2 linked regions of the Lepisosteus oculatus genome follow. Each later gene encodes a partner of the first gene's protein in a complex. Links are inferred from orthologs where the notes say so. Each region holds a gene or a part of one and is shown in the gene's direction. Other genes may lie near its edges. The genes, in order: grb14 and insrb.

Region 1 (3,924 bases):
TGCAGCCTTCCTCAGCATGAACAGTGGAGCATGAATCATGAGACACAAGTGGAAACTATGTGGAAGTGAATTTAAACCTGAGAACAGGAGGCTCTTCTTTATTCGGAGGGCTGAGAGATTATGGAATACTTTACCCAGCTGTATTGTTGAAACCAATACCCAGGCTTCTCTCAAGAAATGGTTGGATGAGGTACTTGGATCAAATGGCCTTTCATTGTTTTAACTCTTCTTATGTTCTAATCTGATTTTGTCCTGAGAAATTAGAGCAATGTGTAGAAAAGACACATTTTGAAGTGATCAAGTTGAATGACAAGAGGGGATGGTTTTTTTATTTAAAACACTTTTTTTGTAACCTTGGTATACCTGTATCAATAAGAGATAAATGAATATTCATAACTTAGGAATTCCAGAAAGACACTTGTCTTCTGACATCACCAAAGTGCAACACTCTTACAGATGTATGTATACATTTGATTAAAGTAAAGTGTGGATTAAATTAAGAAGAACATTTTGGTTATATTAAAACCACAACAGCTTTTCTGAACAGGAAGATTAAAGTCAAATTAGTTCATTTTTTATGTGATTAAGAAATCTATAATATACTCTTGTAATAAACTGGAATATAGTGTGTATATTTCATATTCTTTAAAAAAGAGTGGTCAAACCATGTTGTAAAATAAGGTGGATTATAACCTTACTGGACTCTTTAAACAACTGTAGTGAAAACTGCTTCAAGGAGCAGTGTAATTTCAAATACACCAAATGGGGAGAGCTTTCCTATGGTCAATGACAGTACACAGATGACACTATAGTGGCAAGTGTGCTAGCAATATTGCTCACCAGGAGCACACTACACAATGCCTGAAGGATTCCAGTGATCTCACTGACCTGTGTTATGTATTGCTATTGTCCATGCATATCTCTGCATATTTACTGTACATTTGTATGTAAAAAATCCATGTTTACATGGAGATTGATATAAAATAGCTTTGGAAGAATTACATTATCTTCAGAGTTATTTAGTCAATTATACCTAAATTATGATTTGTGTTTAATCACTAACAATGAAGACAGCGTTTTCCATTATTGCACTGTTGCCAGAAGAACTTCAAGGCTTATTGAAATTTCTGCAGAACAGATAAATGTTTTAAAACCAGAAATTGAAAATCTCATCTGTATGTAATTTATGACAGTCTTTGACTTAATAGTCAAAAACTGGTTCAGTTCAGCCCTACTTGAAAAAAAGCTGACTTCATTAGAATGCTTACTTTAATGTAAAATCACATTTTCAAATACTATATATATGCACACGTATGAAAAATAGCTGGATTTTAAACTCTGTGCTTGAATATAGTTTCCGAATAGTGCTGAGTTTAAAGTACAATTAGGAACTCAGTGCAAAGTCCATGACAAAGAAACAGTTGGTTTACAGTCTGGAAGTGTGCCAGATCTCATTACAAGACTAAGTTGCATACCGGCAATGAAGAACCTTTTGTATAAGTTGCTTTGTGCAGCATTTACTTCAGGTAGTGTTTGAAGAAAAAAAAAAAGAAGTCAGCCAAGACTGCAATGACAAAACAAATTTTTGGAATTTAATGTGCTACTGTGTAAATGCAACGAAGACCGACTTAGGAGTCATCACTTTAAAAATAACTTTATTGTGGTGGATCATGTTTTGGTAGGAGGGATCATTTATCGTGCTGTTGCAGGCTAGCAGCATATGAAGCGCTGAGGTTAAGCTGCGTGCAGAGGGCAGAGGAGCCCAATGTGTTAACAGAGTGCTCTGTAGATACTTTGCGTCAATAGGAATTCTGCTCTTTCTCGTTTAAACGATGCCTTGGATATAGCCATCTCCATGAGTGATATGAGTAATACAGTAGAAGACTTACAAACTTCTGGAAACCTGGGAGAAAAAACAGCTATTTTTCAACATGACAGGAGTAATGCAAGTCGTTTTTCCAGCCCATCGTTGATACCTCTGCGTGCACCCTTACCACCATCAAATGCTCTACAAAATAAGGCAGCTCTTTTCAAGGGGATTAGGTATGACTGGTTTAATATAAATGTATAATCATAGATTTTTTTTTTCTGTATCGCTTGCATTGGTTTTGAATTGTGCTCTTGCAGAATAAGATACATTTTTTACAGTTTTCAGCATGCAACCTTTTAAAAGGCAAGCTAATTTTTAACTTCTGTGATCAGTGAGTGCTTTTAATGTGCACTCTAATAGCAGGATACTAACTTTATTGTGTTCTCAGTAGAATAGGCAATAGAATTTGTACTTGTAAATACAAGTGGCAAATAATGTAGATTAAAGAATAAAGAGGTTAGTAAGTCCATTTCGTACATTTTGACAGCACAAACAAAGAATCTTATTGAATTCTACCACCTGTTACTTTCCTGAATATAATTAGTTACTTAGTAACATTTGTATTTACGGAGCAGTGAAGTTATCTCATTGTGGCACTACTTTTGGCATGCTTAAAATATTGATCAACTTTAAAATATACAAGTTATGTTCAGCTTTTATGCATTTATTTTCTTGCCAAAAATATCAAGTAGCTTTTATTAGGGCAGGTGTAACTTTCCCACATACAATGCTATTAAAAACATTCTTACTGTATTCTGTCAGTAATGCAGTTGTGCTCTGTCAATCTCAACTTCATTCTCATGGACACAGCTGTGTTCTTGTTACTAACTGTAAATAAGGTGGTGTTTAAAACTACAATCCTCTCTAAAATGAAACTAATACAGGACTGATTAGCTAAACAGAATCTTATCAAGTTTTATTATCATTTTGAAATAAAAGCCTTATTATATGATCATATTATTTGTTCATGTCTGATTTTGCATCATTAATTACTCTGGGTAGAAGACTGGAAGGTCTGTTAACATACTGATGTGGCAGCAGAAATTAACCCTTTATTCTTTCAGATCCGCTGTTCTTAGTCAGAGTACTTGCAGATAACATGGATGACACTAAATATCCCATCATATAGAATTGTGCAAATCTTTGTATACATTAAGCAGTATCAACAACCCAACAGGCGTATACCATTTATATAGGTAGCTTGAATTATTTCTAGCTTTGTCTGTTTGGTATTTTTGTATTCATGTTTTATTTGAAAACTAAAGAAAGATACCACAAAGATTGCTTTTCAAAAGCTATTTGATTTAGGAGACGTTTTGTAAAAAGTATAGTGTGTTTTATTCAATCAACTTTATCTAGTAAAATGATTTATGAGTCAATTTCCAAAGGAAAGGTTCTTGAAATCTACTTTACGTCCTTACATTTGATTTTACAGTCAATATTTTCAGGAAAGGTTGATGGTGTTGCAAGGTACAGTAATTATTGTTGTTTTTATTAGTTCTGTTTTATTTTCTTTATATTTCAATTTATGAGGCAAAAAAGCCTCAGAACATATGTGTACAAGATAATGTACATCAGAAAAAAAATCCAACTACTGTATAAACAAAAGGAATCAGAAAAGATAATTATACAGTACAATGGAACCTATGCATCATAAATTCTTTAAGAATGCCACTTTGAACAAGAAAATCTTAAGACAGATTCAGAATTCCTGATTTCACAGAAAAGAGTATTCCACAGACTAGGTGTTTAGCAGGAGAAGGCACTATCACCTTTCTCTAATGGGACCAATATGAAACTAAGGGTTTATTTATCAGGTCAGAAACATGAATGATTTAAAAGTACTTTGTTAACATTATTACATTACTGTATATACAGTACAGTGTGTCTAAAATTACAGAGATAACATTTTCCATCGTATAACTTACTTACTAGTCATATGTTAGAAAGTGGGTTAAATCTTTTCTGAATGCGCATTCTCCCTAAAGGATATAATGACATGTTAAGAAACAGTACCTTATCTTAAAACCACAGTGTGTAGAATACGAATTACA
Region 2 (3,924 bases), on another chromosome or scaffold:
ACCTCCCAGCCCACTATAAATGAATTACTTTTAAACAAGGAAGTGCGTGACAGGTAGAACCATCTTCACAAGCATTTCTGTACCACTGGCAGAAGATCACACCCCTGGCAACAACAATCTGATAATCCCAGCACACCCCTTTTCTACCACGCTATCTGTGACAGTGATCGGGCACTTCTTAATTAGCGTTAAAACAAAGATCGCATCACAGACCCTTTCTCACACGATCATTTGCTGGATTTTCACAGCACTAAAAAACAGTGCCTCGCCTATCTCATTTAGTGTTCACTTTGTGTGTGTTTTCATCTGCAGGTCTGAGCCCCTCTCCTGCTGACCCGAGTGTGCCCAGCAATATGGAGTTCAGTCCCGAGAACAGAGCTGCCTTACTCCTGTTGCAGCACATAGACTAGTGTTGGCACTATGGGACTGACAACCGAAATATAGGTTTGGAAGTAGTTCAGGTGGGGAGCTGCGTCAGCTTGCGTGGTCTGCAAAGGAATCAGTAATAGGTTTATTCCATGCTGAAAAGAGAAGAGAGAGCACACAACGTTTCGCCTACAAAGCCTTCACAGCCGAAACGTTGTGTTTTCTCTCTTCCCTTTTCAGCATGGAATAGATCTATTGCTTGTTCTTTTATAGGTGTTAAAGCAGAGAATCAACACACACACACATATATATTACTTTCAGCCACAGAAATAAGAAACAACAACTAACTATCTAGCGTATGGCCAATTACCTTTGCTAAATCTATGCAAACTGGGCGCTAGAATGAGTATAGGATGTTTGGAACCCAATATCCTGCCCAAAGATGAGACGGGTCCGTTTCCGTTTTGTTTTTCAAGTGGGGCAGCCGTTCAACACACCACGAAAGTCGAGCAATTACCGGGGGGTTATGCTAATGAAACAGCATGCGTTCAGGTTGCACTGATGCACTGATGTCATTCCCCGGCGGTTCCACCCCCCTGAACATACTAAACATACACCCCCTCACCCCCCCCCCCCCCCCAACTCCCACTCGTTTCTGCTGACTCCAGGTCGTATTTTTTTTTTAGGCTGTCAAATCCAGTCCGTAGTTTGCGCCGTGCCTTGCGCCAGCTGACTGGCAGCTCTTGTTTACTGGCAGGGAGATACTGAGAGACTGAAAAAGGGGGAACTTTAGCGGAGAGAGAGAGAGGACGAGCGGTACTGCAGATTCGGGGGGGAAAAGAGAAGTTTTTTAGCTTTTTTTTCCGCAGATTCGCTTGCTGTCGACGCGTGTTTACCTTGCTGTCGCGCTTTTCGCCGTCGTCCGAAAATCTTTTCTACAGCCTGCTTTCCAAAAAAAAAAACCACGAAAGGTAAAATAACCTGTCCGGGCTCAGATTAGCCCAAAAAGACGAAGACGAAGAAGCAGAAGCAGAAGAAGAGAAAAAAACCAGTGCGGGGAGTTTTGCACACTCCAGAAGCACCGTGCGTTGTGTTTTTTTTTTTTATTTGTACTGTTAAGTAACTATCATACATTTCCATTGTTTGGGACGTGTTTTTTTTTAAGACTCTTTGGGAAACTCGCCAAAGAGTTGAAAAGGAAGCTGAGCGAGGAAGGACGTTTTTACCGAAAGGGAAAAGCAATTTTTTTCGGATTATTTCCTGCGGAGTTCCTGTGATGTTTATTTTTCTATTGGACGTTGTAACACTATTTTCCTGTGATACGGAAAGGGCAGGGAAGGAGAGGGAGGTTCGGGAGGAAATAATCGTGTATAAAACACAGTGAAACCGGGGATTAAAAACTAAACGTTTTTTTTTAATTTTCATGTCAACAGTGCGAGAGGAGGAGAATACCACGCTTTATAAAAGGACAGAAAAATAAAAGAAGATCTTTGTATTTGCAAGTCAAAATAAACAGTTGCATCTTGCAGAAAAGCAACAGCTAATCCAGGAATTTTCTTTTTTTAACCTTTTGAAGGAAACCCCAGCTTTTATGTGGGTATGAGCGACTCGCTACCCCTTAGGGTACCTCCTTATTAAAGCGGTTTGCTGGTGGGAATTATTTTCTCGACTGAAGGAGGATTTTGTCAAACAAACTTTACCCGATGAAAGTGGACGACTTGTATCACTTGATTTAAAATGAAGCTCTGGGTTCGCCAAAGTGCTGTCAGAACCCAAGACCACATTATTTGATGCAAATCTAACCTGGCGAAGTAGTAAAACAACAAAAAAAGTTAATACATATTTTGAGTATTAAAACGCGTTTAAATATTCCCTCACCCCCCTTTTTGGGGGTGGTGTGGTTTTGTTTTTTTGTTTTTTTGTTTTTGTTGTGTATGAAAACGGCTTTCAAGCAAGAATCTCTGATTTTATAAACGATTAAAGGAAAAAGTTTTACTCAATTTTTGGATTTTTTCCCCTTTTAATCTGGCATTTTTTGGTGGATTTAAGGACATCACTGGGGTCAGAATGCGGTTGGACACCCCGGTGGTTGCTTTCGTTACTTTTATCTGCGTTTTAAGCAATTGCGGGATATCGGATGGAGAAAGTAAGTAAATCAAAGCTTTATTTTCCATTTAAGGATGGCGTTGGAACTCTTTCGCTGCGACAGTGTACAAATGTGCTATTTATATCATAAATCAGTTAAATCGTTAGAGGGTTTTTTATAGGCCTCGTGTTTTGTGGAACTGCTCAGATTGTAAGAAATGCAAAATGTATATATTGTTTACACCTAATTTGAGTATTTACGTAACGTTTTAAAACGCGGTTTTTGGTGGGAGAACATTTCCCAATACCATTTTCTTACGGCGGAATAAGTCAAATTTTAAGTGTTTTTTTTTGTAACATTTTTAGTTTTTAAATATTTTTTTTAGAGAATTATTATTATACGATTATATTTTGAGGCCTGCTTGCGCATACATGAGCCCGAAGGCTAGATTAGCCTTTGTCGCGGGAAGAGGGTGGGATATAGACAGCGATTCTAAACTTAAAGGTCCGGGACTCGTCTGTCCGCCTAGGCCTGTGTTCACGTTGAACTAATAATGCAACAAATGAGATTCAGAAGTCCAGTGTTTTGTAGGATTACATGTGACCCGGGCATACACAAGATGTGGTGCGTGCTTATTTTTTTTTCTGAGCATTGTAGGAAAGCAAATAGTTTGTCGTGTTTTTATTATGGCATTTTAATGTATATTATATAGAAAACTGCGCAGAAAATGTAAAAGAGACCACCATTTTCAGTTGGTAATCTTAACCCTTTTCCCCTGTTGGTCAGGGTATAAGCCATATAAGTCTATATAAGGCACAGATTTGACCGAAGATTACCGTCATAAAATAATTAGCTCACACGCACACACTAAGTTTTGAAGAACCGCGTTCATTTTGTTTATGCATTTCATCCACTCCCGACACCCTGCTGATACACTGCACTTTGACACAAAGTACTCTGTGCGGGGGCTTAGTGTATCTCTGGGCAGTTGGTGTGGGTCATGACAGTTTCTACACTAAATTTTCATCTGCTTTTCCGACTTATTTGATATGCAAAGCAAGAGGTCGATGTATGCAGTAAGCGATTCTAGATAAATATCTTGATAAATGCATGCACGCACAAATAGGATACTTAAAGATTTTGGTAGCCTAGAACATCACGACATTATGTTCCGCTGTTCAAACAGAAAAACAAAATCTTGTACACACCGATTTCATAACCTATACTGTTCTGTCGGTCACAACCCAAAAACAGTGGAAGACTAATGCTGACTTTTCCGTCGTGTGAAGTACCCATCCTATCTAGATGTGAACGGATGAAAATGTATACAAAAAAATCACAGCAAATGAATTTCCCCCAACGTTTTTATTGAAGCTGGATTTATTTTAAAACCATAGAGAGTAAAAGTCAGCTTTTGTGCAACTTCAGGTGAATGCAAAAGTCTTTTTAAAACGTTTCATTAAATGATTCAA

What was found.
Region 2: the proteins of grb14 (region 1) and insrb are in contact, whole or in part, in a crystal structure (PDB 2AUH), measured with the Homo sapiens proteins. The link is inferred for Lepisosteus oculatus from reciprocal best matches to the Homo sapiens genes GRB14 and INSR. Residues at the interface, in NP_004481.2 of Homo sapiens: Glu373, Asn374, Ser375, Leu376, Val377, Ala378, Met379, Asp380, Phe381, Ser382, Ser386, Val388, Ile389, Glu394, Val398, Ala399, Glu401, Glu402, Gly403, Leu404, Trp406, Arg407; in NP_000199.2 of Homo sapiens: Leu1065, Arg1066, Ile1069, Glu1070, Lys1112, Arg1116, Arg1163, Met1180, Arg1182, Tyr1190, Lys1192, Gly1193, Gly1194, Lys1195, Gly1196, Leu1197, Leu1198, Pro1199, Val1200, Trp1202, Ser1207, Leu1208, Lys1209, Asp1210, Gly1211, Gln1235, Asn1242, Glu1243, Leu1246.

The regions. Positions count from the first base shown.
Region 1 is NC_090707.1:14,976,058-14,979,981, reverse strand, and holds the start of grb14 (growth factor receptor-bound protein 14), read left to right. Parts: upstream 1-1,505; 5' UTR 1,506-1,855; coding exon 1,856-2,043; intron 2,044-3,924. UniProt on the Homo sapiens protein: Adapter protein which modulates coupling of cell surface receptor kinases with specific signaling pathways. Binds to, and suppresses signals from, the activated insulin receptor (INSR). Potent inhibitor of insulin-stimulated MAPK3 phosphorylation.
Region 2 is NC_090724.1:6,046,333-6,050,256, forward strand, and holds the start of insrb (insulin receptor b), read left to right. Parts: upstream 1-1,128; 5' UTR 1,129-2,433; coding exon 2,434-2,512; intron 2,513-3,924. UniProt on the Homo sapiens protein: Receptor tyrosine kinase which mediates the pleiotropic actions of insulin.